Struthio camelus: one gene and its partners. The protein of the gene in region 2 purifies or fractionates together with the protein of the main gene of each other region. This does not show direct contact. Links are inferred from orthologs where the notes say so. Each region holds a gene or a part of one and is shown on either strand. Other genes may lie near its edges. The genes, in order: HECW2, ARRDC1 and ZMYM2.

The links.
Region 1: the proteins of ARRDC1 (region 2) and HECW2 purify together in Homo sapiens (affinity purification with mass spectrometry; 3 studies listed by BioGRID and IntAct, counting the BioPlex papers as one, with this or other methods). This does not show direct contact. The link is inferred for Struthio camelus from reciprocal best matches to the Homo sapiens genes ARRDC1 and HECW2.
Region 3: the proteins of ARRDC1 (region 2) and ZMYM2 purify together in Homo sapiens (affinity purification with mass spectrometry; 3 studies listed by BioGRID and IntAct, counting the BioPlex papers as one, with this or other methods). This does not show direct contact. The link is inferred for Struthio camelus from reciprocal best matches to the Homo sapiens genes ARRDC1 and ZMYM2.

The regions. Positions count from the first base shown.
Region 1 is NC_090947.1:12,095,672-12,105,948, reverse strand, and holds the start of HECW2 (E3 ubiquitin-protein ligase HECW2), read right to left. Parts: upstream 5,989-10,277; 5' UTR 5,945-5,988; intron 5,535-5,944; coding exon of another isoform or gene 5,415-5,534; intron 4,356-5,414; coding exon of another isoform or gene 4,269-4,355; intron 3,915-4,268; coding exon of another isoform or gene 3,753-3,914; intron 3,671-3,752; coding exon of another isoform or gene 3,602-3,670; intron 3,015-3,601; coding exon of another isoform or gene 2,820-3,014; intron 2,248-2,819; coding exon of another isoform or gene 2,121-2,247; intron 1,424-2,120; coding exon of another isoform or gene 1,254-1,423; intron 537-1,253; coding exon of another isoform or gene 443-536; intron 31-442; coding exon of another isoform or gene 1-30. Other genes in the region: CCDC150 (coiled-coil domain-containing protein 150), read left to right, coding at 1-30, 443-536, 1,254-1,423, 2,121-2,247, 2,820-3,014, 3,602-3,670, 3,753-3,914, 4,269-4,355 and 2 more. UniProt on the Homo sapiens protein: E3 ubiquitin-protein ligase that mediates ubiquitination of TP73. Acts to stabilize TP73 and enhance activation of transcription by TP73. Involved in the regulation of mitotic metaphase/anaphase transition.
Region 2 is NC_090961.1:11,558,339-11,568,331, forward strand, and holds the start of ARRDC1 (arrestin domain-containing protein 1), read right to left. Parts: upstream 3,935-9,993; 5' UTR 3,854-3,934; coding exon 3,736-3,853; intron 1-3,735. UniProt on the Homo sapiens protein: Functions as an adapter recruiting ubiquitin-protein ligases to their specific substrates. Through an ubiquitination-dependent mechanism plays for instance a role in the incorporation of SLC11A2 into extracellular vesicles.
Region 3 is NC_090942.1:204,116,694-204,126,833, forward strand, and holds the start of ZMYM2 (zinc finger MYM-type protein 2), read right to left. Parts: upstream 5,103-10,140; 5' UTR 4,947-5,102; exon of another isoform or gene 4,705-4,946; intron 4,471-4,704; exon of another isoform or gene 4,085-4,470; intron 3,900-4,084; 5' UTR 3,842-3,899; intron 1-3,841. UniProt on the Homo sapiens protein: Involved in the negative regulation of transcription.

The DNA of each region.
Region 1 (10,277 bases), on a different chromosome or scaffold from region 2:
CACCGAAATCAGCAGTCTCAGAAAAGACAGGTAAGTAAAGCTGATAATTCTTTCTGTGGTATAATTAGTGTGATGAAGACAGGCAGATACAGTTGAGAAGTGGCATCTCTTCCACAGCGCTGTCCAGTAAACTCTTTAGGACAAGGTTGTTTGAAAAATTCCTATATCCTTTCCTGCAACATTGAAACATATTTAGTACCAGTGAACCAAGCGTACCAAATGCTCATGGCTAGCTCTGCGAAAAACTGTGCTTGTAACTATTCTGCTTGGTCAGGTCTCATGCATCTTGCGGGAAGCAGGTGAGAATAAACTTAATTTTAATGCCAGTGACAGGCAAAACTTAACATGGTGAAAGCAGAGAACCTAACTGAGATTGCCACCACGTCAGAGGAGAGGTGCACAGAGACGATACATTGTTTGTTTGCCCTATTTCCATTTTCAGGAGCCAGAGTCAACAGAAAATACAGAGGTTAGAAACAGAATTGGAACATTGCCAAGCCAGAGCGGTTGCCATGGGAAGCCAGCACAGCAGCCAGGTAGAGGCCATGATTTGCCATAGAAATAGGCAGGACTGCGTCTTCAGGGTTGAGTCAATTGCCCTCCCCCCACTTTTTGGGGGGGAAGGGGGGGGAAACAGTGTGGTGTGATACATTCACGTGAATGGAGGCAAAATATTCTATCAGCTTTAGGCTGCGGAGCAGGAAAACCATTTTCCAGGTTTTGAAGGAAGTAATTAAAGATCAAGATAAAGAACAAGTACAAATCTTTCTAAAGTAAGACTCCTTGGCACAGATAAAGGTTTTACTGTCTGCAGCTGGATAGGGACAGAGATTTCTGAAATGTATGTAGCTTTAAAAATTAAAAAAAAAAAAAAAAAAAGAGAGAGAAAGAGAGAGGGGGGGAAAAGGAGGGTGGGGGAAAGGGCCAGAGAGTTGCTTTCTTCCTCCCTCCTTTAAAATACATAGTTTAAAAATCAATGTCTCACAACCTAAACACACTCACTATTGGCAAGGGGCATTTTTTCCAAGACAGTCATGTTTTTCATTCTGATCCTCCTGACTAAGCCAGTCTGTGGATTGGCTTTGTAGGGAATCACATCTAGATGCCTGTGCTTGAAAGGATGTTTGTCATCAGGCAGTGGGTGAACAGACTCATACTCCCAGTAAGCTGACACCAACTGGGAAGGGAACAATGTTCCTGTTTATGCTTTTTCGTTTGAGTAAGCCTAAATCTGATCTCTTGTTACTGCCCAGGTGGAACCACTTTGTAAAGCACTAGAAGTTACTAGAACAGACAACAAGAAACTTGCTCTTCGTTTGGAACAAGCTCTGCAGGCCAACAATACCTTGCAGAACAAGCTGATTCAGAGTCAGTATGACCTGAAAAGCAAAGAAGCTGAGCATCAACAGCTGGTAGTCTGCAGGTAAGAACAGATCCAAGATATTAAAGCTGAGGAGAAACATAACTTTTCACTAACATCAGAGCTTTATGCCTTTTGTCATCTATCAGTATCAGCACTGACCACATGCTGAACCAGCAGCATGGTAAAGATAGACTTACGCAGAGCTACATGAATGAGCTGATTTGCCCATTCGTATAATGGCTTCTTCAGCCTCCTCTGCCTTCCTCCTCTGAGGAACTGCTTGCCTAGGGTCATTATAGCACTTTTTCAGCAGACATAGCAGGTATCACTTGCACTTTGAAGTGACCTACAAGCGACCCACACAGAGGACAGCTGTTTAAATCCTCCACCCCAAACTAAACCCCAATAAATAAGATTTAAAAGTAGTTAACAGTAAGTGTTGGTGCACTGTGAATCACCTCAATATCCTTGGTCTAAAGAGGCTTGGCCACCTACTTCTCTGAAGGAAAGTAAGTAGACCTAAAGTTCAAAAAAAAAAAAAACCCATCTTTTTTTCCTTGTACAGTTGTTTGGAACCTCCTTGCAAACAGAGCAGAGATGAAGTATATATACATTTACAAAATCAAATCCTTAAGCATTAGTGTTGCTAAGAGTATACCCAAGACAAAAGAAATATTTATAATGGAATTTTCTGTTCAAAAAATAAAGCATATTAAATGTATATGTGAATGACCAATTTTGCTTCTTCCCTTAAAAGGAAACAGCTAATGGAAGAAGCCCAGACTGAGGAAAAGATGTATGCCGAACGCTTAGAGGCTTTGAAGAAGCAGTTTCACATTGAGCAACAGGCTTCTAGAAAAGCTGCCCAGCGGGAATCTGCTGAGGTGAAAAAAGGATAGAATTAAAAGATTTCAGTGAGTGGTTTCCAGAGAAAGAGCTCCGCTTTACAATGTCAAGTTTTCAAACTGCAAAAAAGCAATTCATGACAAATAGTTGTCTCTTTTCCCATCATCATGGAGTTGTCCATCACCTGTTTGCACCAAATAGAATTTTGTTTTGTGGTAGACAGGTTTTGGTGACTGTACATTGCAAGTACCACTGTATACCCCATCATACATAAGACTTAGGCATTGATATCAGTCATTCCAATGAATTCAAAAGGAAAATCTGACATTATATGGAAACCTCCAGGGAGGAAATACTGTTGTGAAAGGGCAGAAATAGTCTTTGCTTTTTGGGGGCTGGAGCATAAAGCTCAGCTTGACCTTAACATTACTCAGACCCAGCATTCACCTTTCATTCCTTTATTACAAAGATATTTTAAAAAATTGGATCACCAGGTGCTATAGCATACTCCAGACACAGGGAATCGTTGGGGCATTCTCCCTATTAATGGTTGTAGGAAATGAACTGATCTTCACAATTGATGTGAACTCACTTTTTCTCTGTCCCCTAGCTCAAAAAGGCCCTTGAAGAAGCATCCTCCAAACTGGGTGAAGTTTCACGTGCTAACAGGGAGCTACGGCAGAGAGTAACAGAGCTGGAGAAGTCTTTGGCTAGCTACAAGGAAAAGCTGAAAAGCCAGAGAGCTCAAGTCAGACATTGCCTGGCCTCTAAAGCTAGCAACGCTCAGAACACAGAGAGGATAAAGGTGCGTGCATGTTTTTCAGTGGAGACAGACATCCTACCTGAGAACTCCTTTTCCTCCTACTAAGTAGGACTACTGTTGTCCCTTTGTAGCAGAGCTAGGCTGGACAATAAACAAAACTAACTCTGAACTCAGATGCCTAACAGAAGACCAATAGCAGCTATAGCTGCTATTGCATGGCCTTTCCTGCGTTTTCTTCCTACATTAAATAGGATGCCAGAGTCCCATCTCCTCCCTGTATTTTCCTATTAGCCTTTTGTCCACTTAAGCAGACTGTATCCACAAAATGATAAAGCAGTGATCGGTGCCAAAGGTTACTTTGTGCAGCGGTTAGTCCCTTTCCATCCTTCATACCGATGGACCATATGGTAGCACTGGTACCCGATCCCAAATGGGAATCCAGGGTCCTTTGCAACTCTGCTGCCTGCTTGTTCCCTTTTCCCCACTGGGGCCTGGCTTCTCCTAACTTCAGTCTTGCAGGATAGGAAATAAGGAGACAGTGGGCGAACGCTGCCTGTTACATGGCACCTATTACTGCAGAGGAGCCTGAGAAATTCCTGAAGTTTTGTTTTTCTTTCAAAATTTTCCAGGAGATTGAATCTGAATTGAGGGAAATGGAAGCAATAAAAGAGCAGTATCAGAAGAAGAATTATGAACAGGTGTGTTCTCTTGACTAGCTTCCTAAAAAGGCTGATCTGATGAAAACAGGTTGTTGAAATTTCATTCTTGTGTTGTTACCAGTCACAGAATATCCAGAAATTTGTGAAAGAGTTAACAAGTTTGCAGACTGAGATGCAAGAGTTGTTGAAAAACCAACATGAAGTACAAACACAGAACAGGCAGCTAGAGACCCAGCTGGAAGTGGAGAGAAGGCAAGGGCAGCAGCTGGAAAACAAGTGTCAGGTAAGATGATCACACTATGAAAGCGTGGTGAGAAACCAGTGGAACCATTTTATACAACATCTGTAGGGTTCTAGAAGGGATGGTACAAAGACTTCATGAATCTCATGTCAAAAGATACTCCTACAAATCTTACTGTATCTGCCCCAGAAAGCCCAAGGAGCAACTTATCTTGCGTTCAGTATGGATTAACACTATATATCTGACATATGAAAAATTACTTCTACAGTCTTTGTCAATAAAACTCTTAAGCATTTTACAGTTAAAAATGGAAGAGTCATTCTGTTAATATTGCCAATTTTTGTCTTTGTGCCATGAAAAAAAAAATTGAGAAATGACTATTCTTTTTCTGCCTAGAGATTGGAAGAAACAGTCAAACAGCTGAAGAAGTGTAAAGAAGAAACAGAACAGAAACTGAAGGAAGCCAGGATAGAATCAGAACAGGTGAGACTATTTAGCCTGAGAATTATAATTCATTGGCAGTAACAAAATACCATTTCAAGGTATGCATTGTGTGAACCTTTGAATCTCATTCTCTGGTGAAGAGTGAGGTGCATCCTTGATCTTTTCAGCTCAAAAGTAACAAACTGGTTTTTAGCATTCTTCATTTTTTTCAGTTAAATTTCAATCTCTTGCATGAGATATTTTAACTTATTGGAGTTTGTAAGAAAGCTTTTCTCCCCACAGCTTACTGTTTTTGTCAGGATCAATAGATTTCTATCTTAACAGAAAAAAAAAAAAAAAAACACACACCCCACTTAGTTGTGGCCAAGTAATTTCCCCCCAAACCGCTATTACATTGCTCTTTATTCGACATCGATCCAAACCACATTTCCCACCCCCCCTGCCCCGAGAGGTCACATTTGTCCATGCTGCACCTCATCCTTGCACTATTGTACAGTAATATCCAAATAAACGTAATTGACATGTATCACTATAGTAGTCTGGTATGAGAATCTACTTTTTGAGATATTTTTAATAGGGTGTTAACCAGCATAAAGTAAAGAAATAAATAACAGAGGTGCCCCAGCTTGAGGTCTTACATTGCTACTTATCCGTTCAAGTACTTGATCATTTATTAGAAAAAGACCTTAATAGCAAGAAAGTAACATATACGTATTTCTACAGCATGTCAGTCTTCAAGCAAAGTTATTAGTCTTCCCACATCTTTCTTAGGAGTTTGTGGTATTCAGCCTCCATTTTTCCCTCTACTCCCCAATGCCTCTGTGTTTTGGGCTGTGTCGAGAGAGAACTCTGTGGACTACTGCCAATAATATTTTCATAAGAAACAATTTTGTAGCATGTGCCCAGCTGTTACCACCTCTCCACAGCAATGCAGAGGGAGAGAACTCTTGAGTTCCTGCCCCCACGTACAGGAGAGAATTCGAGGAGACTTTGGCGTACTCTTTTTTTTTTCCCCCTTCCAGCACAGGGCCCAAAAGCTGGAACTCGGCCCACATTAACCACTTGCTCTGCAGCTCTAATTACCACTGCCTTCCCTAGATCACAGTTAACCTGGAGGAAGCTCACCGCTGGTTCAAGTCTAAGTTTGACAGCCTGCAGCCAGAACTTATAAAAAACCACCAGGCAAAGGACACGGAAGAGAGTGGCTCTAGAAGGGAGGTAAAGAAAGCAAGCACATCCTCTTTAAAAGGGGAGAAAAACAAATAAGCTGGGGCAAGCACTGGGAAGTCAGGAATTCAGCTTGTTAAACTTCTTTCACAACTCCTTACACAGTGGGAAAGAGGGACCCCTGTTCCTTTTTCAGTTTAATTTGTTTTCTCATCTTTTGCCAAGGTACTTATTTAACCAGCAAAGAACACTATGGGTACAAGATAGCTTCAAGGGACTGTTTCTATACTTAGCTAAGTTCTATTGCACATTTCATGTTTTGCTGAAAGTCATAACCCAAATACTGGTATGAAAGCTAATAGCTGGCCTGTTTTCTTCCCTGCATTCACCTCCTCTGTTTCAGTGTTTATCCTCCCCCTCCTCCAAACTCTTACAGGTATTCTTTTAAAAGCTATGCTTACCTTGTTTGCGTAGATTCCACAGCCTTTCCCATAACTGGCAGTTCTCACGTAGCTTTCTGATCAGCCTTTCAGAGAGAGATGTATATATTAAGCTGCTAAAACTTTAATCTCTTCTTTGATAGTCACAAAGATTCTCCAAGCAGTAGATCAACTCCATGAAATACTGTATCTTTTCACAGGAGAAAAAGCAACCAGAGCTCCCTGCCCAACCCTTCCTGGGTGGCCAGGCAAGGACCCAGCCCCTCCAGCTCACCGCCAGGAAGGCCCGGGTGACCTGGGCAGGAAGTGAGCTCACCTGACAGGTGATTCCTGGCCCAGGGCTACCTGGGGGTGCCACAGCAGCAGCAGCAGCAGCAGCACAGGGAGAGCATCACCTACTGCCAGAGACTCCCTGCTAGCACCCAGGTGTTGGGAGTGTCCTCAGCCACAGGGAGCTGCATGCTGATGGAGAAGACTTTTTAACGGGGTATGAAACAGGGGCCTTACTCAAACTGTGATAGATCTCTATCACTAAGAAGACCTTGCAAATAAAAGGTGTAGTGACCAGCTGGCTGACAGGACACTGTGTGTAGGGGACCTAGCAATGCTGATTTATATTGTGTGCTCTGATTTGAATTAATTCTTCCCTCTCACCTGTCCGACATTGCAGGGATCTCTGTGTGTGTGAGATAAGCTTTCTAATAGGATTGTCTTTTGCAACTAGCATACTTTGTATCATGAAGCTGATATTAACAAAGCCACTATTTATAGCAAAGAAATTATTCTTCTGTATGTATCATTCCTATAGACTATACGCTGCTGACTGCTAAGTCTTTGTGTTCATCACTTTTCTTTTAGCAGCTTTAGAATGAGCCTTGGCAGGTGCTATCAAAACAGATCTCGGACTGGTTTGCAGAGGATTCAGGTGAATTACTGAAGGCAGAGTCATACGCCTGTGGCTGGATGCTGACGTGATCAGGACAGGGAAGACCTGGCAGGACTGGCTGCTTCTAATGATAGCTGATGTCTGGGTCATGAGAAAACACAGGCCTCAGGCTAATTTTAGGAGCATATAAGGAATTCATTAGGTTTGTGACACTGTACCACACATCCTGTTATCTACATAAGACTCATAAGAATTAGTGGAATTTATTCAGTTTATCCCACTGTGGAATATAACTCTGGGGAAGGCGTCATTGCAGCAGATGGCTTAGGTCATAGTAAGTTGAAGGTGATGATTGATTATAACACAAACAGTTTTCATTCTTGTTCTACTACCAATCAGCTCAGCGTCTTCATGGCTTGCTTTTCCTTCTGGAGCTTCCAAAACAACTTTGCTTCAGTACAGGTGTTGCTGCATTGCATTCTGGTTTGTTTTACAGTGCTATTTGCCGACTCCTCTGTGAGCCATGATACCATTTATTGCTGGGGAAACTATATATGTTGTTTAGAATGTTTGTGTAGTGGGGAGGGAAGGCTCGCTTAGCTCTGGAGCCTGAAACGCACTGAATTAAGTCATTCCAGTCCTCCAGAAATGTGGTCCTAAACTGTATGACAGTAGTCTGGACTAACTTTTAGAGACGTGACCCTCTCCTTCTTGAAGGAAACGGACATGCTAATGAACAAGGGCCTACTAAACAGACTTAAGGCTAACACACATCTTTCATTTACCTGCTCATCATTGAATTGTTGTTGCTGCTTAAAAAACAGGCTGATGTAATGTGACTGTAGGTTAGTCCTAGTGGAGCCAGCTCCTTCAGAGATAAACCGGCCTGTGTGCAGCAACTGCTCCTTAAATCTGATTTGGCTTAACTTAATCTGTGCATCTTTAACTCCATAGTGCCCTCAGGCAACGAGCAGTCCAAACTGTAATCTAGCTTTGCGTGTATTAACTCAGACTGCAGAGCAGTCAGCCACAGCTGGAAAAAACTCTTCTAGAATAGAAGCGTTAACACTTTTTTTTTTTTTAAATGAATGAATCTCATGAATTAATATTTATTGAATGCTTAAGTAGGTTGCCTAGTAGGACAAACCACTACGATGGTTGCCTACGCAGGAGGACAAGACACTGCAATGATACTTGTCTGAACTGCACGTTGCCAGGGAGCCAGCACCAGCCACCCCTCTCTCTGGCTTCCCTTGGCAGGAGCTGTTACCAGCATACCACATACATGTATGTGTGTGTATATATATATATATATATGTGTGTGTGTGTGTGTGTGTGTGTACGTAGATATATTGGGATGGGTCTTGACTCCTCCCTTGGTCTAGAATGATGAATGCTGGTGGAAGGGCAGCGTAGCTACAGGTACTTTGTATATTTAAATACAAAGTCTGATTATGTGTCTGTGGTTAACCTTGTTTTTATATTTGCGTAGGTAGAGACATTCTCCTCCACATGCAATATATCCTGTTGCTTCTTTTTTTAAACGTATTTGTTTGGGGTTTAGGGTGGGAAAAGATACAGCGTAATTAATTGTAACCTATTACTGCATGACAGTACCTCCTCGTTTTAGCGCTGCACTAAGCTTTTGGCTATGTCTGCATCAGCAAGTAATGCAGCACACTGAGTCACGTGTAGACTGAAACAGCTGGTCCACCTGTGCTACATGTTTTGGATTGGTTTTTACTTCGGATATACACTAATCTCAGCTTGCCTACTGAATGCTCACTAGCGACCATAGCACTTCTGGAAGCTGTCTTCCAGTTTGGTTTCGTCTGAAAGGAAACTAGTTTGTGTGCTCAGAGCCTGCTCTGTAACGTGAGCCACAGCAGGGTGAGTGGCAGCAGGCTGGAAACTTCAGAAATGCATGTCTGATATCAGCTAAAATACTACGGTAGGTGCTTCCGCTATAGTCTGTCCTGTTGCAGTAAATTATACTACACGGTAACAAAGGAGTCTGGAAGCTCCAGGATTTAGTGTTTCTATTGGGGGATGCCCAGTTCTAAAGGAAGACCGTCACCGCCTACAGAAAAATACATTTGCTCGGTAGACTCTCACAAAACTTGATTATAGCCCACTTACTTATGGGTACCGTCAAATTACAGGAGTGACAGCTGGGGGGAGGGAGGGCGTCACTCAGTGGTCTTCAACTCTGACCTTGCAGTAAGAAGAAAAACTTTTGAGTTATCTTTGTACGAAGATGACCATAACTAGCCCAATTATAGAATTATACTGATTAGGACTAGGACTTGTGTGGAACAGTATGAATTAGAAGCCCATATTCGTTTGAAAGCCCCAAAGCAAGCCCTTTCTTTCCAAAAACTTTGAGGGTGAGGGAACACTGTATAAAACTCATTCAAAAGATCAAAAGTACAACACAAATAGACAAGCTCATGTTATTCTTTAAACATTGTAATTTGAAAAAGGTTGCACTGGTTTATCACTTTGCTGCCATCTGCAGGATCAATGGTTGAGACTCATCTACACTGCTAGTGGTTCCCCAGCAAATCCTTAGTAGTTGCAACGCCTCTTGTTAGGCACACGTTCTATTATAGTAACATTTAGTGTATTAAAAAAAGCAAACTTTCTATGCAGTATGATTTTGTTTGGTTAATGTCAGTCTGTTGCCTTCAGTGCACGTGGGTGGAGACCAACTTTCTACAGTTGTCAATGCTGGTATCAGGTAAGCACAATTAAAAATCCATGATTCCGGTTTTAAGACAACTAATATACTTTTGTGAGCACTCTTTGATATGCTTTAATGTAAAAATATTTCCTTGGCTATAAATAGCTAATAAAATTATCATGATTCAAAAAGTAATTTGACAATATACACATAGTAGCTGGCTGACAATGTTATTAATTCCATTAATATAGTCTCCTATTGCTACGAGATTAGATGATAGGTAAGGGTGGCATCAATTTAAGTATTCCCATTTTACTCTCGGTGGTTTGTGAAAGCTCTGCCAGAATTAGATTTCAAGCCTTTCCTGCCCTGCTATCTGTTCCCATGTGCGGTTGGTTACAACTCAACTCTGGTTTCTGAGACAGAGGCTTGAGAAAGGTGCTGCGTTCACTCTTCTCTCTCCCTCCCCCCCCCCCCGTTACATTCCCACGAGCATCATTAAACAAGCTACAACCAGGTAAGCTTGACTGTGAATACAGAGCATGCCATAATAAATCGCACACAGAGGCACATGACCCAAGAAACATTTGTACTGTGAACTCTGTCCTGTGTATCCTCCAGCCTCTGCATGAAGTAAAACAATGAAATGGGCATTGCATGATGACAAAGTTTTAGGCTATAACTTGTTTGAAAAAGCATTCCAAATTAAAGGTATGGATAAATTCTGTAGTAGTATTGCAAGTAAGTTTTTTTTTTTTTTTTTTTTTTTAAACTTACCAGATTCT
Region 2 (9,993 bases):
AAGCACTCCGGCTTAGGCGAGCGGCGCGAGCCTTTGTTCCAGCACGCCTTTGTAGCGCGCTCCTGCCAGCGACCGAGGCTGGCTTCCACGTTCTGAACTAACTTCTCCTCCCTCCCCCCAGATTAACGCCATATCCAGCTGGCCCAGCGCCAGCTTCCTGTTAGATTAATTATTCTTTGTACACACGTGTTTGATGATTTACCCAGTAAGTCAGGCACAACAATTAGGAGCTCTGCATTTCCATTAGCGTTCTCCCCCGAGGCCTCAAAGTTTGCGGAGAAGGACCTTCATCCTGGCACAGGCGCGGGGAGGAACGCACCTCCTCTCACATGGCTCAGGAAGGTCTGTATGGTTTACGAAAGGTGAGTCATCATTTATGACGCCGCTGCATGGTCAGCCAAGGACTATATGTTACCAAACAGCCATTATTGCTAGTTGGCAGGGCCGGCAAGGAAGCTAAGGTAGATGAGAGCATTTATGATCCCAAAAGGCATGTCTCGAGTTATGTTTTTCTATGACCTGAGATTTCTAGCACGTTTAGCAATACAGAATGAACCTTGTTTGCCTCTATTGTTCACCTCGTGATAGGTGCAGTTTCTGAGAGCCATAAAGCAAGTCACCCTGTGAAGTAATCTACAGCCTCATTTGCATTTGTGCTAGATTTTGGATCTCAAGAATCACAATAGTGAGACAAGCAACCACACCAGACTGGTCCAGTTTGGGAACTACTTTGGTGCTGTGCGCCAGACCTGTCATAGGGTAAGTATTTCCGGTCTCTTCCTTTAAGATATTTATTAGTCTGAGAAGTCATAGCTGGTCACAGAAGGGGTAGTACTCAAGCCGACGCAGCTTCGAGGCCTCCAACCCAGCTCTCCCCTCGCCCCAGAAGAAAGCTACAGCATGATAAAGGATGCCTGATCCCTCGCTGCTGGACCTGTGAAGTTGAATAGGGCTGACTACTGCTAGGTCCTCAAAGGAGCCCAGTCTTAAGACCTCTTTGCAGCAGGTAGTTGCCTGCTGTCACACAAAGAAGGATGTTTCAGCAGATATATGAGCTTCCTCCTCTTTTTTGTGAAGGAGGGACATTTCCTTTAGCCGGACAGAAGGAAAGGGTGCCCACCTGAGAGAGATCCCCAGCCCTACTGCTGAGGGTTGGCGAGACACCAGCGGCCGTAAGACATGACGCAGCATGAAGGACACATAGCAAAGAGTCACCTTGTGGTAACAATGTCCGTAAAAAACACACCTTGAAGAACACTGCTTATTTGGGCAGAGTCAGGCACCCGTTGTGGCAAGCTAGCACCATCCATAACTTTCTCCTAAGTCCCCTTCTATCCCTGCTGGCAAAGCCAATTTGCAGGGACCTCAGCCCAAAGTAGCAAGCTCACATCACCTCTGCACAGAAGGAGAAGGAACAGCCGCACACAGCCCACCTCAGATTTGCCTAGATGCTGCTGCCAGCCCCAGGACCTCAGCCAGCTTTCCTAAAGCCCTGCTCAACTGCCCCAGCTTGTTACCGAAATTACTGCATTAGTATTATACACAAAGATCCAATAGCAAAACCTCTCCTGGCTCGAGAACCAATTCTTATGCCAGACCTTAAAGTTTCCCAGAGTCAAAGCAATAAGGAACATCTTCAGAACGAAGGTCCAGACAAAGACACTCTCCTCCTTCCCCTGCAGCACACCGGGAGGCAAAAGAGGAAAACCCGGCACGTAAGAGAACCTGAGAGCCCACGGGCTCCCCAGAGGCACCAGCAAGGTGTCACCAGAGCTAGCCCCAACCAGCTGGCAACGTGAGGGACTAGCACAACTGAGCCTTGCAAGGCCAAACACTTCCCTCTCGCCCAAGAGACCCCTTCAGGAATAGAGGTGGAGGGGACAGGCTAAGACAAAGGAGGATGGCAGTCAGCAAGCACTTTGTCTAAGAGGTTTTTTGCTGGAAAAAATACTGCTGTTAAGTATCCTCCAAGGAGATAAATGCTCTGGATATGCAACTGCTTTGCCGCAACAGGAGTTAAACAGCCTACAAGTCTGCACTTGTTCTAGATATTTTTGTTCCTGAGGAAGCTTCCAAAAGCTACTGCAGAAAACTGGGAGAGGTGTTCACAAAAGCAAGAACATCCCAGCCCCAGCTGCCACAGGCACCATCATCCAGGCCAATGTCTGTGTTCAAGAGACTTTGCATTTTAAGTTCTATGGCCGTTTTTCCCCCAATAATTGGTTACAGAGGACAAAGTGTTCGTATAGGAGAAGCAAGGAGATAACCTCAGTGAAACCAAGAAATAAGTCCACATTTCCACAGCGCTGAGCACAAAACGAACCTGTAAGCGTGAAAGCCTTCTCTAGGGTGGGGGAAGCTAGGACGCACAGGAGTGACAACCTAACTAGCTGGCTCATCTGAGAGCTCATGGCGGAGCAGAGGGAATTTAGAGCCTGCAATGCCCGGTGGCCCACCCGATCATCCTCCTCTTCCCAGTATGGATCTTAAACAAGCAGCCGCCCTCCCCTGAGGCCATCCTCGTTCATTCACGCTGCCATCTCCTGACAGACTGCAACAGCCACCAACAGGGCCTGCATCTCCCACCGAACCACAGCAGCCCACATACTCCAGATACCGCTTGGGCCACGGACGCAGCTGAAAGAGCAGCAGTACGAAGGTTTTATGCCTGCTCGGAGCCACTTGTGCTACAAACCCTCTCAACACTGATGGGGGCTGCGTGCTCAGACTAGAGATCTCCCACTTAACCAGTAGTTTCACAACTCAAAACATTCAAGGTCCTTTAAGACGTTACGCAACTGCTGCTAGCGATAGATGCTAGCGAGCTGCGCTTGCTGACGGACAGGTGTCCCCTCTGCGTGGGGGCTCTTTCTGCACCAGGGGCAGCGGCCAGCTTGGCCACCACGTCGCATACTTCCTCCGAGCCTCCTCGGCGCTCCCTTCCCAAAAATCCCTGGCAGCAGCCTGAGGAGCGACGGGCCCCGAGCCTCCCCGCAGCTTTAGTCAGCCGCCGTCCAGGATCTTTATAAAAATACACGTTTCGGCACTGCGGCAGACCCGGGCGCACAAGGGCCCTTTGTCAAGGAGCTGCCACGGCCCAGGGACAACTCGCGGAGAGGCTCGAGGCGGCGAGGGGGGCCACGCCGCGCCGCCGCGCTCCGGTCCGTGCCCGGCAGCTACGCAGCTCGTCGCCTCCCTTGACCATCCCGCTCGAGACCGGCACGCAAGTCGGGTTTGGACGCTTCTGCGAAACAAGTCTGTGCTGTCTGGCTTCACGGGGAAGGGGTGCGGGGGGGGAACAGGAAGCAGAGGAAGAAATAATCCGGCAGGTTGCTCACAGCACCTGCACGTCTCTCCGCTGCCTCTCCTCTCCCGCGACCTCGCGAGGGGCAGAAGGGGAAGCGGGGCCGGGCCCGCAGCCCACCCGGCGCAGGGCGGCGAGCCCCAGGCCCGCCCCCGGCAGGGCAGCGGGCCCCGCTCCGGCCGCCCCGCCGCCCGGGGCTCAGGCCTGCCGGCGCCTCCGCCCCCCTCGGGCGAGCCGGGCTCGGGCCAGACCTCGGCTGCCGGCCGCAGGGCACACGTCGGGGGGCGAAGGGGGGGGGGGACCCGCTTCCGCGGCCGCCCGCGGAGGGGCGCGCAGGCAGCCAGCGCCAGCCCCCGGGGGGGCGAGGGGGAAAGGGGCCGGCAGCCCCCCCCAACCCCCCCTCACCCCGGGGAGGGACGCGGCGAGCTCACCTCGGTACTGCAGCGAGCCGGAGAGGCGCACGGTGACGGTGCCGGCCAGCGGCTCGCCGGGGCTGTAGACGACCCGGCTCTCGCTCAGACGGATCTCGAAGAGCTGCACCTTCCCCATGGCCGCGCCGCGCTGCACCGCGCCGTCCGCCTGCCCGGGCCCCCCGCGCACGCAGCGCTACCTGCTGCCGCCCCCGCCCCCGCCGCTCCGGCCCCGCCCCCCGCCGGCCCCGCCCCGCCCCGCGGCCCCGCCCCCCCCAGCCCCCCCGCTCTGCGGAGCCCAGCGGCCCCCCCGGCTCCTTCCCCCGCTGCAGGGCTGGGGCAGCCCCGCGGGGGGGGGGGGGCGAGCAACAGGCTTCCCTCCAGCCTTTCTGCGCCCCCTCCTTTTGCACTGCCACGTGATGCGGCGATAAGAAAGCCTGCCCAACGCCGCTTCGCCCTTCTTTTATTTTTACAAGCGAGCACGGGCCGTGGCACCGGGGAAAGGCACCTCCCGGCTGGCGACAAGCAGCCCGCGTACACGGGCACAATGAGGGCTGCTGAGGCGGCCGCGCGGGGACGCCAGCCCCCCGGGAGCAGGGGCCGCAGGGATCGCCGGCGTCGCAAGCCGAAACCCCTCGTGAGAGACCCAAGCTCCGTGTGAAGAGTAGCTTGCGCGTTCCCGGCCCAGAGCGGCTCCCGCGAGCGGGCTCCGCCAGGGCTCCAGCGTTCAGAAACCGACCTCTAATTTCCGGTCCAAGTGTAGTCACAGCTAACCAACACCCCTACGTTTTTGTACCAACACTTGCATTTCAAGCAGCTCATCTTGCCCAGCAGGCGAGACATCCTCGGATCCACCTACACACCACTCTCCTTGTCCTGACCCTGGCTTTTGTTTTGGCAGGCTGCGCAAGCCACATTCGTCTAATCTGTTTGTGATATGGGCCTACAGCCCCTTTCCTCCGTCTCTCCGGCCCAGCCCCCCTTCAGCTTCTCCGGCCTGGCGTTGCCAGCAAAAAGCAAGAGGGGAGCAAGAGCCCCCTGTGACCACGGCAGGTTGCCCCATCTCTGCTTCCCCCCCAGAAAGTGGCTCCGGACCCACAGTTCTTCCCACTGACCGGCCGTCCGATGGGAGCTGCTGCACCCACGGGTCCTCTCTGCCCCATCGCTGGAGCAGCGCGGACTAACCGGCACTTGCACCACGGGGCACGGGAGCAGTGCCACCGAGCGCCCACATGTGACAACTCGGGGGTCATGAAATCCTTTGCCAAAGCTGAGCCCCTCACACCGCACTGCAGCTCTCCTCAAGCAGAAAGGTTTCTGCTCCTTACTGGCGGAAAAGTAGGCTTAAACGTGGTGAAGTTGCTCACCCAAGGTCATAGCATGAATAAAAGGGATTCCTAAGCCAGGAGCTGAACAAAGGCATCCTGCTGCTGGCCGCTGGTATGTGCTCTCAGTGGCACAGCCTCAGTGCTGCAAGACAAGCAGTGGATGCCTTTCTACGGAAATAGAAGAGCTGTTTTCGTGACATAGCCAGCAGCAACGCCACAGCGCTGATCCGCTCCTTACACCACTGCTACGCTGTGCTCTGCACTTCATAGGATATAAATAGGTGGGCATAATTCAATCTGTTTGATCCCTGCAATGCCAGTGCACCTACCTGTACATATCTTGGCAGTGGGCTGTTGAGGAAGGTTTTACTCATCATAGTCAAACGGTGATTTACGTTCCTACCTCCCTGCTCATCTGTACGCGCCCTGGAATCACCCCTGTTATCTAACGGCACACAGAATCATGGGCACCGAGATTCAGAGTGGGTGGGGGAAAAAAGCGAAGGATAAGGTAAGCCGTCAAAGAGTCACTTTTCTGCTATTTTGAATCGGCATTTCATTAAAAAAATTGTTTTGGATGTTTTGTTCTGATGGTGGGAGCTTTCACTTCCTCAGTCTCTTCTCCCTTCCTGTTTTTCCTCATTAAGGAAAGGGAAATTTAAAAAGAAAAAATAAAACTTGACCCCAGTTTGAGAACAAAATTTTCCTTTGGGATGTCAAACTTCACTAACTTTAAGGAACAGGATTTTTTTTTTTCCTCCAAAGAAAGCACTTGTTATAGAAACACCGTTTAAAAAACCCCACTGGCACCTGAGCCGTGCTGCCCTCACAGCACAAGACCAGCTTCTACAGCAGGCGCTGGGGAACAGCTGTGGGTATTCCCCGACTTGGGCAAAACACACCAAGGGATCAAGCTGCAACTGCAAAGTCTTGTGCTATTTTGTGTGTGTGAGCAGCACACGAGGCAGAAGGCTCCCTGGTTGTCAGGCATTTTCCTGTGACTTGAATTTGTTCCTCTTTTGGGCTTCCAGATGTTGTCCTCCAGCTGCGCCCTGAGACACGGACAAGGCACAGACCCACCTGACTGTGCCTCAGTTTCCCCTGGCGGCGACGATCTCCACCTGGCAGGGGCTGAACCCTGCGAGGAACCCAGGAGTCCTCGGGGAGCGGCTCGGGGAAATGCCTGTGCCAACGAAGCAGCGACTGCTAGGCAGCTCGATTACGTGAGCACTTCTGGGTGAGGCAGCAGCATGTTATCTCCGGGGCAATTGGCAGGATCGTTTCCACTTGCTCCCTAGCTTCAGGGGTATGTGGGTGTTGGGGAGACAGCAGTCTTCACAGGATACTGCCCTGCACCCCAGGTACACTCTTGGCCTCTCATGCTTCCTAGTCCCTCTGTTACAATGTGGTGATGGAGCGAAGCTCCCACTACACCAGGCCCTGGAGGCCCTGGGACTGAGGAGGAGAGGTAATAGCAGAGGCAAAACCCAGAAAGTTAAAATGACTTTGGCCCTTAAATATCTTAAGCTTCCCTCAAATTAAAATACACACATCCAAAGAGAGCCCGGGAGGGGCTCACTGCTGATATATTTATACTATGTAGCACTAGTAACACATAGCTACATTTTCTATCCATACATATGTATGGATGGATGGATATAAACTAGGTAATACCGAGACCATACTTAGGTTTATAACCTTTTGTGTATCACTTGACTTGCTTGGCTCAGTACCTCACCACTTCTCAGTGGATTTCCCCCACCAGTTGACCATACCGTCTGATAATAGCAGCAATAGATATGACTCATTTGTACAGGGCTGGCACCTTTGATCAGGACCAGGGTTCACGTGGCACTTGCTCTGCTGAGCTGTCCTCCACACCCCTCACTCTCCTCCGGCAGGAGGTCACAGCCAAGGTCCCCCATCCACTCTATGGGCCCCCAAGGCAGCTTGCAGACAGCTTGTCCAAGGATACTTGGTGGCATTCAAACTACGCCTTACACCAGTGGTGTTCAAAGCTCTGGGGTCTCCATGTCCCTGAGCTCTGCGTTTGCTGAGCTGCGTTTGCATCTTCCTCATGTGCCCAGGGAGAGCATCAGGGCTCGTGGGCAGACTCAGGTGCCCAACAGCAGCACTGCAGAGCCACTTCTGTGGTTGAAGACAAAAGAGAGCATTAAGTGATCAGAAACAGTCACCTGCATGCTGGAGTAGGGGGGCACCGGCTCTCAGACTATGCACAGACACTGTCCCAGGCCACAGCTTCAGGTGCTGTCCCTCTGCCACCATGTGGATGCTTCAGGACTCTGTATCCCAAGACAGTGTCCCAGGTCTCATTCAAGGGTTTTAAAAAAACCATCTAAGGTGCTTGCATGATAGCGTAATAAACACCATCTATTTAACCTTATCCTGTGTGGTTGACTGAAGTATAATTTGGCCGAGGTATCTCTACCGGGGAGATAAGAGACAAGGCTGCCCTTTACCAAGGGGGAAAATTTTTATAAATATAGATATATGTATATATATACATATAAATATCTACAGTGTCCCTCGGCAGTTTGTTTCAATGGCACATCCTTTTCACCACTAACATGCACGCCTGCTTTTTAGTCCAACTTTGTCAAATTTCAGTTTCAGCCACTGGTTTTTGTTATTGCCTTTCTGACATTAAAGAGCCCTTTAGCACCAAGCAATTTCTCCTCGTGACAGTACTTACACACCGAAATGAAGACACCTCTCAATTTTCTTGATAAACTAAACAATTTGAGCTCTTCAAGTCTCTCCCCATGAAGCATTTTATCCAGCCTTCGTGTTATTATGCTGCCTTGTATCTATCCAAGCCCACATACTGGCATTTGTGTGTTTATGGAAATGTGTGCAGGAACAGCCTCCTACGCGTGGGCACGTGCACATACAGGAGATGATGCACTAGCCGTTACGACCCCAAACGCACACACAGAGCTAAGTGCGGGCCCCGTAGCACACACGCATCGGGTGCGGTGACAGCAAAGCATTCCCACTGTAAACTCACCGCTTTCTGTTAGCTAGGGAAGAGATGAACACCCACAGGTAACACACCAGCTGCTCCTGACCTGCTTCTTCCCGCTCAGATGAACCCTCGCCCCTGTGGGAAGAGGGCGACTTCAGGGACACCCCTCCCAAGCCAGTTCCTCCCTTGTAATTTTATCCCCGAGCAGAATCAGCCCACGGAAAGCAAGCCCCCAGCTGAACTGCTGCAATCCCATTCCACCGTTGGCACCCGTCCCACTTACGGGGGTGCTGCTGCTTTAATTGGATAATGCCCATACTGCACCTGGCCATCCTCACTGGAAAATCCTTAGAGAGAGGCAAGGCACTAATTACTATTATCATCACTCTAATCTAGCTGGCTGGATTCCTGACCTCTGCCTTCACTGCAAGACTCTTGCTCAGGGTGAGACTGGAGAGGAAGAACTGCTGGTGGGAAATCTGTCCTCCCTTTCCCATGAAGTTCAGCATCTCAGCGCCGGCAGAGGGACGGCAGTTTATTTGTGTTCGCCCACGGGCTCTGGGAGCAGGATGATTTACTCGCTCTCTCGGTGATTCCAGAGAGGCCTTGCCCGAAAAAGGGCCAAATTAAAAAGAAGGAAAAAAGGGCTGGACTCCAGCTCCCCCAGCACCACTGCAGCATTTTGCACTGCTCCCTCACTGTAAAGCTACTTTTACTCTGAGCTCAGGGTCCCCACGATCCTAGGGAAAGGCAGCAGATGCTGTTTAACAGGCATGAGCAGGCTGAGGTGAAGGCTTGGGGGAGCCTACAGGGCTTCTGTGGGGAAATGCAGTGCAGCATGAGCAGGGTAGCTCCATACCTGCATGTTCATGTTGAGCAGAGCCCTCATGTCTCATTTTCCCTCACTGCCCTAATCCTTCTCTTTCCTTTTCCCCAGCAGCAGCTTCCTCTTTGAGGAGAGTACAGCTTAGCCAGCCGGGAAAGCAACCCACAACAGCCTCAGCCTGGGCTGCTCTGAACCGTTCCCTTGCTCCTGACACTTGGTACCATCTGTCCTGCTGGAAGTGGTTGCCCACAATGGCCTAGCTGTCAAAGATGGGACTGCTCATCAGCCACTTCCAAGCAAAGTCCAGCATCTTACCTGCTGCAGCACTTTCACTGAAATCCACTGAATTTTACCCAGAAATGGCCAAGGATCACTCCCATGTTGCTGCCCACTGGCTCTAGTAGAGATGAGGACCTCCAGCACTGAGGCAGCAGCAAATAGCCAGGGACAGAAGGGAGCGGTGGTGATATCTCAGCCTGCCACAGCAGCCTGCAGGAGCAGGCCATCTCTGCACCTCTCAGCAGCCCCTGCTAGGATTAGTTTGCTTAGGCAGCCCATGCCAGATGTCCCACTTCTAGCTGGGGGATGGACCCTGCCACAGATGTCAGAGACAAAATTACCAAAAAACCCTGCCCCAATCCTCCATGCAACCCAGCAGGTGGTATCTGAAAGAGAAGTGATCAGGCACCAGGGAGCACATCAGCACCCCAGATAGAGAGCTCAGGGGTCAGGGCACCCCAAAGCCCCTGTGCTCCTTCTTCCAGGCCTGGCTGAGCTTCACAGACAGATGGAAAATCCTCCTCCCTTTCTCAGTGCACGTGTCTCCCCTCGCTCTGCCAAGAGAAGCGCTTCATTTTCCTGTTCCTCACCACTCACTCTATGTGTCCAGGCCAAAAACTGATCCCCAGCATGGAGAAACATGTTTCAGCAGCCTCTCTCACTGCTCCCACTACCAAGAGACTGTTCCCAAGGAAATGCAGACAACATCTCTCAGCACACACCAGAGCAGCCAGCAAGACGGAGCCAAACTGCCGCTCAGCCCATGGACAGGCATGCCTGGAGGATGCAGGGCTTGCTGTGCCAAGGGCAACGCCGACTCCACCTCCACATGCCACTGCAAGCAGCTCTGGTGGGCTGAG
Region 3 (10,140 bases), on a different chromosome or scaffold from region 2:
TCACTGGTAATGCCTAAATACATTTCAAGTGAGGACTAGAGCTAGGCAGTTTCAAGGTATGAACGCTCGTTTCCGAATCCCCTGTCTCAGGGAAGAACCCCGGCAACCCCCATTAGATTATTCTGTTTGTAGCTGATGGTGGCAGAGCCAGAGAAGAACGCTATGGCAAGGGTAGCTCCAAAACAGCTAGGGACCACAAAAAGGAGAAACAGAGCGTTTAAGCGTTAGAGCAAACATACATAGAGTAAATAACCTTCAATCACAGAAGAATTTCAGAAATTCATGGGCAGCAATCATGCCACTACACAGACTCTCATTTGACCACAGACTGAAAAATCTTTTTTCATTTTCTGTATGTTGGATTAGTAAAATTTGAATTCATTGTCTGTATTATAAACATTAATTGAAATAACTTTGTCCCGAGAGCATACTGGAATAAGTAAACTACAGTAATCACAACATGTCTAATCCATGGAGCACTCAGTGGACAATTATGATCTAACAAGGCTATAACGGACAGTCAATGATTGGCTTAAGCCTCGAAGCACACCAGAAATGTTTAATTTTAGTTGATCCCATCTAACGTATGGATGAGAACATCCCCAGTTACAGGTGTACAATTTTTTGTGAATCCCATTAAATTCTAGTGGCACAGAATTTCATGGGTTAATAATGTTTTGCCTTGAAAGTTTATTGTTTCTGGCAGCTTTAAACTGCCAAAAATCTAATAAAGGCCACGGAAGTTGTGTTTAAATCTATATAGTCTACATATGTCTATAGTTCTCTGAAGAGAACATACCACTGTATTCCTAGAGTCTCACACTACTCCCTTTTAAGATTTCTCTCAGAAATACAACAGACTCTGACAAAACCCACAAATTTTGGTCCAAAATGAAGAATTTTGATACTATGATCTAAACTCAGCAGATCATTCATATACCAAGGTAACTTCTACTGCCAGCAATATTTCTCAGTAACATGTAAGAGAGACTACAAGCATGGAAGAGAAGATAAGTTTTCTCCAAAATCTAATCCCTCAGAAACCCAGATATCTTCCTGGAGCATACGCCTACCAGGACTACATCACAAAAAGCACAAAATTAAGCTTAATGTTAGAAGAAGTTCAAAAAAAAAAAAAGCTTTCAATTCTTGAGATAAACCAACTAAACTAACTTGAATTTTAGTAGGCAACAAAATCTGTACTGCATACAGGGTTTTAAGGGCATCATGCAGCAAACATTATCTCAAACTGTTCAAAAGGGGCAGCTTACTAGTCCAGTCTTTTCAAGTCTTCTGAATTTCAAATCTTAATCCTCTTTCACAGGTAGGCGCAGTTCATTGCTATTTGTGATGTACGGTTCTTTTGGAACAAAATAACTGTTCTCCATGAACAGCGGATTTTCCATTAGTAATAATACCTTATATAACATCTTCACAAAACTTTTCATTCTGCTCTTGTTGCCGAGTATATTAATTGGTTGCCAACTGCCACACACGCAGATGGAACTTCAATAATTCTCTATTTAATGCTTGAAACCAAAATGAAAGTGACTGTAACAATGTGAGACTGTTCATGACAGTACTAGACAAAAAATAAGAGATAAGGAAAGAAAGCCAACAGAAATCTGAAGCGAGTTACATCACTTTTGGTCCCATAGCCCTCCACACACTTGCACAAGCTCTGCAGAAGACAGAGCAACCCACTTTCATTTTTTCACTAGCATTTATACGTTCTAGTTGATGCAAATCTCTCTTAGCATATTATTCCAAAGCAACAGTAAAACGCAATCAGGTAGCTGGAGTGAAAGAGGATTACTATCAATAATGTAAATCAAAGTTAGCAGATACTTTAAGACCGTCTTTTATAAAAAGAAAACTGATTTGCTCCAAATATAATGTTCCATCATCACCTTTATTTCACGAATCATCAGAACTGAGAAGTTTGGTTCCTAGAGATGACCATGCAGCAGTAGGCACACATTCCCTCATGGAACTGTGCAGCCTATCATGTGTCATAGGATACACTTTTTCCCTCAAGCCACATGTGGAAAGGAAGGCTGTATGACTACTACCACCACAGTTGGTGGAGGATGATGTACAAAAAACATGTATAGTTCACAAACCAGTTGGCAACTACTCAACTAGGTTTACTAAATCTTAGCCATACAGCTGCCCTTGGTGATATTCTCAACTTCTCATAAGCAGCCACACAGAGTTGCAATAATTTTTTCACATCAGCACACAACAGAGTGAGATCTTTTCTCACTCCTTTCCATCACAGCAACCTTCCTCTTTCCAAAGTGTTATTTGCCTTGGTCACTGCTACTAGAGAAATAACTTTTTTTTTTAATGATACTTCTTACTGTTTAAAAAAAAAAAAAAAAAAAGAGAGAACAGCTGTTAGGCTAGAATGTATAATGAGCCAGAAGTAAAATTAGTTGGTAGCCTTACATCCAAGACACAATAAAATATAAGAAGTTACAATCAAATTTTTAAAAAATATAGTAGTAAGTCAAAGATTAGAACAGATCATTTTATTAATGACAACAAGCTATACAAATTCTATCAACCTCATGAAAGGCATGTAATTTTAGAAGTTTAGAATACAAATCTCATGCCTCTCCTCCTAAGCAGTGGTGTTATGCAGAGAATAACTTATTCTGTATATATGTAAGCCACCAAAAAGCAGCAAAAGTTGCAAGCTATGTAAGTTTGGAAAATCTATTATGTGGAACGTTGGTGGGGGGAGAACAATTTCAAGATGCAAGTGGTTGAGAAAATTACAAAAACCTCAATTCCTCTACCCAAGTCAAGAACCTAGAGTGCAAAGTACGCGTTCCTTTTTTGTTTTGTTCTGTGTGCTGCACGTTTATTAACCAGATCTCTCAGGGCTATCTAAGCTTTTTTCAGCGGCCTCTAGTGACGAGAGCTTGCAGACAACAATCACATCCAAACTGACGAGCTCCTAAAACGTCTATACACACCGTGTTACTTTCACCTTCACTGCGCTACTTCTTAATTTTGGAATCCTTGTTTTCCACTATGTGCAGCAAAGAACATTATTAAAGGGGCACAACCCAGCATCAAATTACTCTCCAGTCCTATACAGAGAGACTGGAAATTAGCTGACCTAAAGCCCAACAGAGAACACAATCTGCTTTGAAAAACCCATAGAGATGAAAAACCGAAAAGGATCGCTACTAAAAAGCTGTGGGTTTCCCTAGTGACCTCCAGCGTTTTGAGGAAGGGGCAAAGCAGATGCCTCGGAAGTACTGCCAAGGCACACAGAAAGGCAAAGGCACCCAACAAAATCGCCCAAGCAAACCCACAATTATAAAGAACTGGTCCAAGTGCACAAAGGCCAGAGTACGCTCCACAAATTGCTGGGCTATTTTAAACCTCCCATTCCCCTTCTTAGCTTCAACATACATGGAATACAAAATTGGAGAAAGAGGGAAAAAAAATAAAGATGGCTAAAGCCGTCTCGTTATGGATTTTAATGTACGCTCTAGAACTCTAGAGGGCACCCGAAATATGCCCTCCCCCTCCCTCCTGAGCCGGGTAACGTGAGCAGCAGCAGCAGCCCGTCGTCTGCTTGCCGGAGTTGGTATTGCAGGAGCGATGTCTGCAGCAGCAGCGCCCACCCCGAGGAGGAGCCGCCTCACAGCCATTACTGGGGCTTCGCCCCAGGGCGGCAGCTGCTGGACCCAGGAATTTCCCCACCCAGCCTTGGAGGCCCCTCCTTTTACCCCAGCCCCCGAAGACTAAGGAGCGTGGGGGTGTCAAGCCATCCCTGAGCAGGTCTAGTTGAGGCAGGAACAGACACATAAATAGCACTCACAATAGAGCTCCCTCTCCTTGTTGGTCTCTGCCAAGGCTGCACCAAACTGGGCTGGAGCCTAAGGGAAAGACATGGGGGTTACACGGGGCACCGAGGAGCCAGCAGCGCCCCCAAGCAGGATTCCCTTCGCCTGGCCAGGGCAGGTACCGCCTGCATCACCCACCACTTCCCTTTAATCCTAAGCCTTAACAAAACAAACAAACAAACAAACGAATAATAAATACAAAATAAGAAATAAATTACCCTCCCGGGTGGGTTGCGGGGTACTCCTCAAGCTTACCCGCTCCAAGGAGCGGTTACCCGGAGCCGCCCGGGGCGCAGCTGCGAAGGCAGCGGTGGCTCCCAGGGCGGGGAGGAAATATTATCTGCTAACTTGCCGAAAGCAGCCCTGAACCGGCGCCCCGGGGAGCGCGGGGGGCCCGGACCCCTCAGCGGCGCCGCCGCGGCGCCCGGCGGCCGCCTCGGCCTCCCGCACGCGCCCACAGCAGTTGCCCCTGGTCTCGGGTTTGCCCCCCTGCAGTCGGCCAGCAGCACTGCCGCCTCCTGTCCGCCATTAGAGAGAGACCCAGCCAAACAATACGGGAGGGGAGCAGCGCCGGCAGCAGGATCCGCGGAGCGCAGCGCCGGGCAGGGGAGGGGAGGGAGGCACCCGCGCAGGGGGGGGGGGGAGCGGGGGGCGGCGAGGGAGGTGGGTGGAAGGGGGAGAAAGGCACCGGGGCAGAACAACAGCCGCGGGCCCGGCGGGGAAAGGAGGCAGGGAGTTAAAATAGGAGGCGCTAAAACAGACCCGGCCCTCCCCCCAAATGCCCCAGCCCCCCCTCAGCACTGCCCCCGAACGCCCCCGATTTACCCCCGCCGCCCACCTCCGGGCTGGGATGATTATCCGCGGGGCTGGCCCCGGTGTTGCCCGACGCCCCCTGCGCCGCCGTCGCCACCGCCAGAGGTGGCGGCGCGGCAGCGACGACACAGCGGGGTACTTAGCCCGGGTAGCTCTGAGGCACGGCGGCTGCTCTCCCATCCCCGCCCCGGGGGCAGCTCTGCGCCTCCAGCTAGCCGCCCGCCAGCCCGCCCCCGAGGGCGCAAGCACCCCGCACCCCCACCTTACCCGGCTCCCCGCCGCTCTCCGGCACGGAACCCCCCCCCCGCGGGGGACGCACGGACTCCGCGTTACTCCTCCAGTGCCTCAACTCTAACTCGGTCCAGTCCCAGGCTAAGCGCAGCTGCTAGCGAAGGGGGAGGAGGAACAGGGCCAACCGAGCTTGGGGAAGATCCGCCTCCCTGCCCCACCATTGGCTCCTCCAGAGGGCGGGCTTTCGCGCTCGGCTAGCTCATTGGGTGGGCTGCCCATCCATCGGAGCTGCCCGCAGCCGGTTGACCCTATAAACTGTCAATCTTCCTCCTAGCCATGCCTGGAGTTCTTACCACTTTGATCCATCAGGTTTGAGAAACCCGAATCGTTGCCCACCAGCTCTGTAGCCGGGTCTAAGGGCTGCGAGGCTGCGCTCGGGCGCCCAGTACAGCTGCTTGACGGCAGCAACTTGCAGAAGTTTGCACTGCTGCCGTGCTAGCCTAGCTATGCTCCTCCAGCCATCTGCCGGGGAGGAGATTGTACTACCCATCCCAGCCTTGCGCTTAGTCCCTATGGACACAACAGCCCCAGCCGTGGGGCATGGGCTGATCTCTCCCTCTTGCCTCCCCCCGCCGCCCCATCGCCGAGAAGTAGGGCTGGGAGGACCCATCCATAGCTCTCTGAAGGTCCCGCCCCACTCCTCCCCCAGCAGGGCTGTGAACCTGGGGCCATTTCCATGAGGGACAGAGTGTGAATAATGGCAGCACTCCCACACAGGAAAGCGAGAGAGCGCACGTATCCCAGGGAGAGAGCTTCCCCCACACACCTACAGCCTGCCCCTCTGAGGAGAGCCTCCTCGCCGCCCTCGCTCTGGACGCCCTCCTGCCCCCACCCACTGTGGGGGAAGGGAGCCATGTCAGCCGCCGACATGGCTCCTGGAGGAGCTGCTGGTGGTGGTGGTGGTAGCAGTGGTGACGTCCTCCATTTTGTCGGAAGCCGCTGCGGGGAGCTTGGGACCAATTCAAACCAACGTGAGGCGCAGCAGGGCGTCCATTTGAGGCGCCTCTGCCCCGCTCCCTGCGGGAAGAGGAGCAGGGCGCCCCTGGCAGTGCCGCGGGCTGGGGAGGAGTGCTCCGAGCGGCGAGGGGAGCGAGGCGCCGGGAGCCAAGCTCTGCGCCCGCCCTCCACCAAAATGGAGGATGCGCACTCGCCTTGCGCGGCTGCGTCCCCTCGCTCTGGCCATGGCACTCACGCCTGCTTCCTCGAGGACCTAGGAAGCTCAGCCTGCCCTCTTGCTAGCTAAAGCCGCTCTGCCCCATTTATTCACCCTCCTCTGCCCAGAAGAGGGAGAAAGAGAGAGCAAGTACCGCCCTGTCTTCTCTAGCCGGTACCAATTCATGTCAACCACGCGGTGCGGTGTCCCCTGGAGAGCGCCTTTTGCATGTGTAAGGAGCAGGGTCCAAGCCGCTGGCGCCATTTCCATGCCGCTGCTGGGAGCCTCCCACACAGTGCTGGCCACCCCCGTGGGATCAGCCGGGGTAATCTGCGGGGGGGCATTGCTCTGAGTCGGAGCAGAACTCACTGAAGGGCTGGCTTCTTCCTCTACCACCCTTGATGAGTTTGGTTGGCAGTTTTCATGTGTGGGAGACACCAGAAATTTTGTATCTTCTATTGTCACAACAATACATCTCATTGCTTCCTCACAGCCCCACCCTGAGACACAGACTTCAGTCAACAGCTCAAGACAAACACTTCTGCCACATGCTATTACTGGATGTTGTTGATGGGACTTTATGATTTTTTTCACACCCTCCTAGCTGCGTGAGGAAGCTTAGCGGTGTTGGGGGGACAGAGTTACCTCGTGGCTGTGGCAGCGTATGGAGCAGTGCTCGTGCGGCCGTTGCTCATGCCTGAGAGAAAGCAGCGAGGTGGTGGTGGAACAGCTCTACCACAACGCTTACAAAGGAAGAAAATGTTAATGAAAGTAATCCTAACCCATTTTGAAGGTCTCTTCCAATTTGCCCTAGAGATTTATAAGTTTTGTTCTACAATATAACAGTGTCCTGCTAACTAAATTGATGGTAAGCAGACAACTGTGCAAATTACAACATTAAATATTATATATTCTATCAGGTCAGCTGGTTCTTGACCATTTCCTTTATTAGCTTGAATGTCTTCCAGGTTGATAAACGTCAAGGCGATTTTAGGTCATCCTCCACATTCTACATATTTTTCTACCTTTCCAGTTAACATGTCTCAGGAAAATATCTTTGTTCTTGAATAGTGCTTATAGGTAAACATTTAAGTTCCGGTGAAGTTCAGCAGAAAATTCAAGAAGACTTAAGCAGCTGGTTTTGAGAGCTTTGATTAACAGAAGTGGATTGTAGAAAATGACTGCTTGTCTGAATTAGAGCATGTTGGTGAAACCTATAATTCTTACTTAGTCATTCAAAAAAAAACCAAAAACCACGGAGCACCTTGCTTTTACCACTGCCCTAGCAATAGACATTACCTAACTGCTACGCAGGACTGTTAAATAGCAACGTAGACTCTTTTTCATTCACATTTTAGAACGTATAGTTTGAACAGATGTGTTAATGCTTACCTTGCAATGTTGGAACTATACTGAAATGTAGTTTTATATGAAATGCTGTAATCCTAGTTAACTCTAGTCCGTCTATAGACGCATAACCCTATTCTTGAATTCATATATTCAAGCACAGACAAAAATAATGGATTACACCACATATTTTTCAATTAACTTTTCAACTGTCAGCAGTAGAAAGTGAGGGAAATAGTAAGTTCTTCTTCATCTGTAAAATTTGATTTTTTTTTTAAATGATCCAAATCGATCGATAATTCTGTTTCATGGTTTGAAAGAGCTAACATTAGCCTAAACATGAAGTAGTGAAATCCTCTTCATGAACTCCACAGGCCTGAAACTGATGTATTTATAATCTCCACACCACTACTTTCATAGACAGGCCTGATGTCAGCAACTTCACTATGCGAGTTCTAACTTACTGCCTGGCAGTAGATAAATTCAATAAAGCTGAACCAACAGAATGATCAAAGATGTACATGAAGAGTGACACCTTTCTATGTGTTATGGAGTAAAATTGTGTCCAAAAGCAGTCAACAGAATTTGAAAAGAGAAGGAGTAATTTGATATTTGATAAATTTTAGAGAATTTATGTTTTAGCAAGGATCTTGAGGACACCACCAAACCAGCCTTAGAATGACGCATAGTAAATTGTAGGATTGGAATGTTCATAACTTAAAGATACCTCCTGCTATCATCGATATTTATCTGTGACAAAGAGTAGTGGAATTTGTTCCAGACTTAGAAGTAAGCATATTCCATTTACTGAAGAACTCTTTTTCTCAGCCTGAACACTGGTTAGGTTTCTGTCAGTATAACTGAAAGTAGAATCTTTTGCAGTGTCTAGAGCTGTGACTTCTGAAGAATGAGGAGGAAATTCTTGAACAAGATGTCTTTCAGTACTTTATATATGTGACATTTGGAAAGTAGTGCTTCATGACACTCTTTAAAAAAACACCATTTATTACAACTGATTTGAAGGCTGGCTTGGAAAAATTTATGTTTGGCATGCGAATAAAACATATGTTTATCAAAATGTCTGTTTCTACCACATGTGGAAGTGAAAAGAGAGTCTAATCCTTTGTAAAATATGTGACCCCCAAATTTCTGTCTATTATGTCATTGCTGACTTCTGTCCTGTCCTTCTCCACAATCCTTTTTCTCTCTGCCTTATACAGTTTTATTTATCCTCTTTCTTTTCCCTATGTTTTCCTCTTCAATTTCTGCCAACGTTTCTCTTTCTTTTGCTATCCTTTACCTCATTTGTCTGCCTCAATGTAGCCTCGATCCTCCTTGACATTTTTGTTCTCCGTTAGGGAGAAGGAAGATATGGAAAAAGTTTATTTGTCTGTGGAACATGTACGACTGTCTCTTTGTCATATTTGTATGGACATGGCATAATGGACTTCTGGTCTGCTACTTGGTTTCCCAACACAACTTCAAGAAATAGTAGTGGAAGGAAAAAACATGAAAATAGAACCTTAGGATTTTAAACACCTGTGGTCAGTAACACCCTCATCAGTTTGTTTTATTCTATAATATTCCCTCTCTTGGTTTTCTCATTGTTGAATTTCATTAGGCATTTCAGCTGTTCTTTAAACTAGAGCTCTCAAGGAAAAGGGACCATACGCGCGTATATGTTTGTATAGTACGTAACAGACCCCATACTATACAGAATTGAAAAAAATTGCTTTCTGCAAAACATTACCTGTGGTTTTCATTATGGTTTTTGAGCTACATCTACTTTTCATAATATTTATAAACAAATCAATATGTATCTAAAAATAAATTGCATGCAGCTGTTTAATTTGCAGCTATCTTATTTAACCAAAAGTGATCTTTCCAAGGCTGAAATAATGAGACTATATACACTGTACAATGGGTAGTATAAGATTACTGTTCATTGCATAGTATAATATGCCTTGAAATGACCTTTATGCCACATTCCATATTTCGATTTTGAAAAAGTAAGAACAAGTAGTGCTCTACACCAGGCAACCTCTCCTTAGAAGACGTTCTAACACAGTAAAGTCTAAGATTATAATACTTATCCAATAAAGTGTTATTCTTAAATCACTTTTAGTGAGTTTTACAATAATCACAATTATTTTTACTTGTATAGAATTTATTATTATTTTTTAAACATTTGAGGGATTTAGTGGTATAAATTTCCTGTCTTTATGGAGAAGAAATGACAGTGCAAAACGGAATAGAGGACCTTAAGATTGGAAGAGACTTCCTAGGTCAGCGTCCAGTTCCTTGCTATTACAGGAAACTATGTCATATAATCCCTTCTAGAAACTTTTCAAGCTCCATCTTAATGGTAGTTTGATATGTTTACTCCCTACTCCTGTTGCAAATCTGTTCCAGAACTTCACTGTTCTGGTGGTTAGAAACCTTCTTCTCATTTCTAGACTACATTTTTTCAAGAACCCTTTTGTTTGTGTACTAGTATTTGTTCTTTGGCTTAAACAGCTCTTCTCCCTCCCTGGTGTTTACCCCCGATATATTTATAGCCGGTAGTCATATTCCCTTTCAGCCTTCCTTTTGCTATACTAAACAAGGATCTTTTAGTCTCTTCTTGCACAACAAATCTTCATTCCCCTGATCATTCTCTTCCAATTTGCC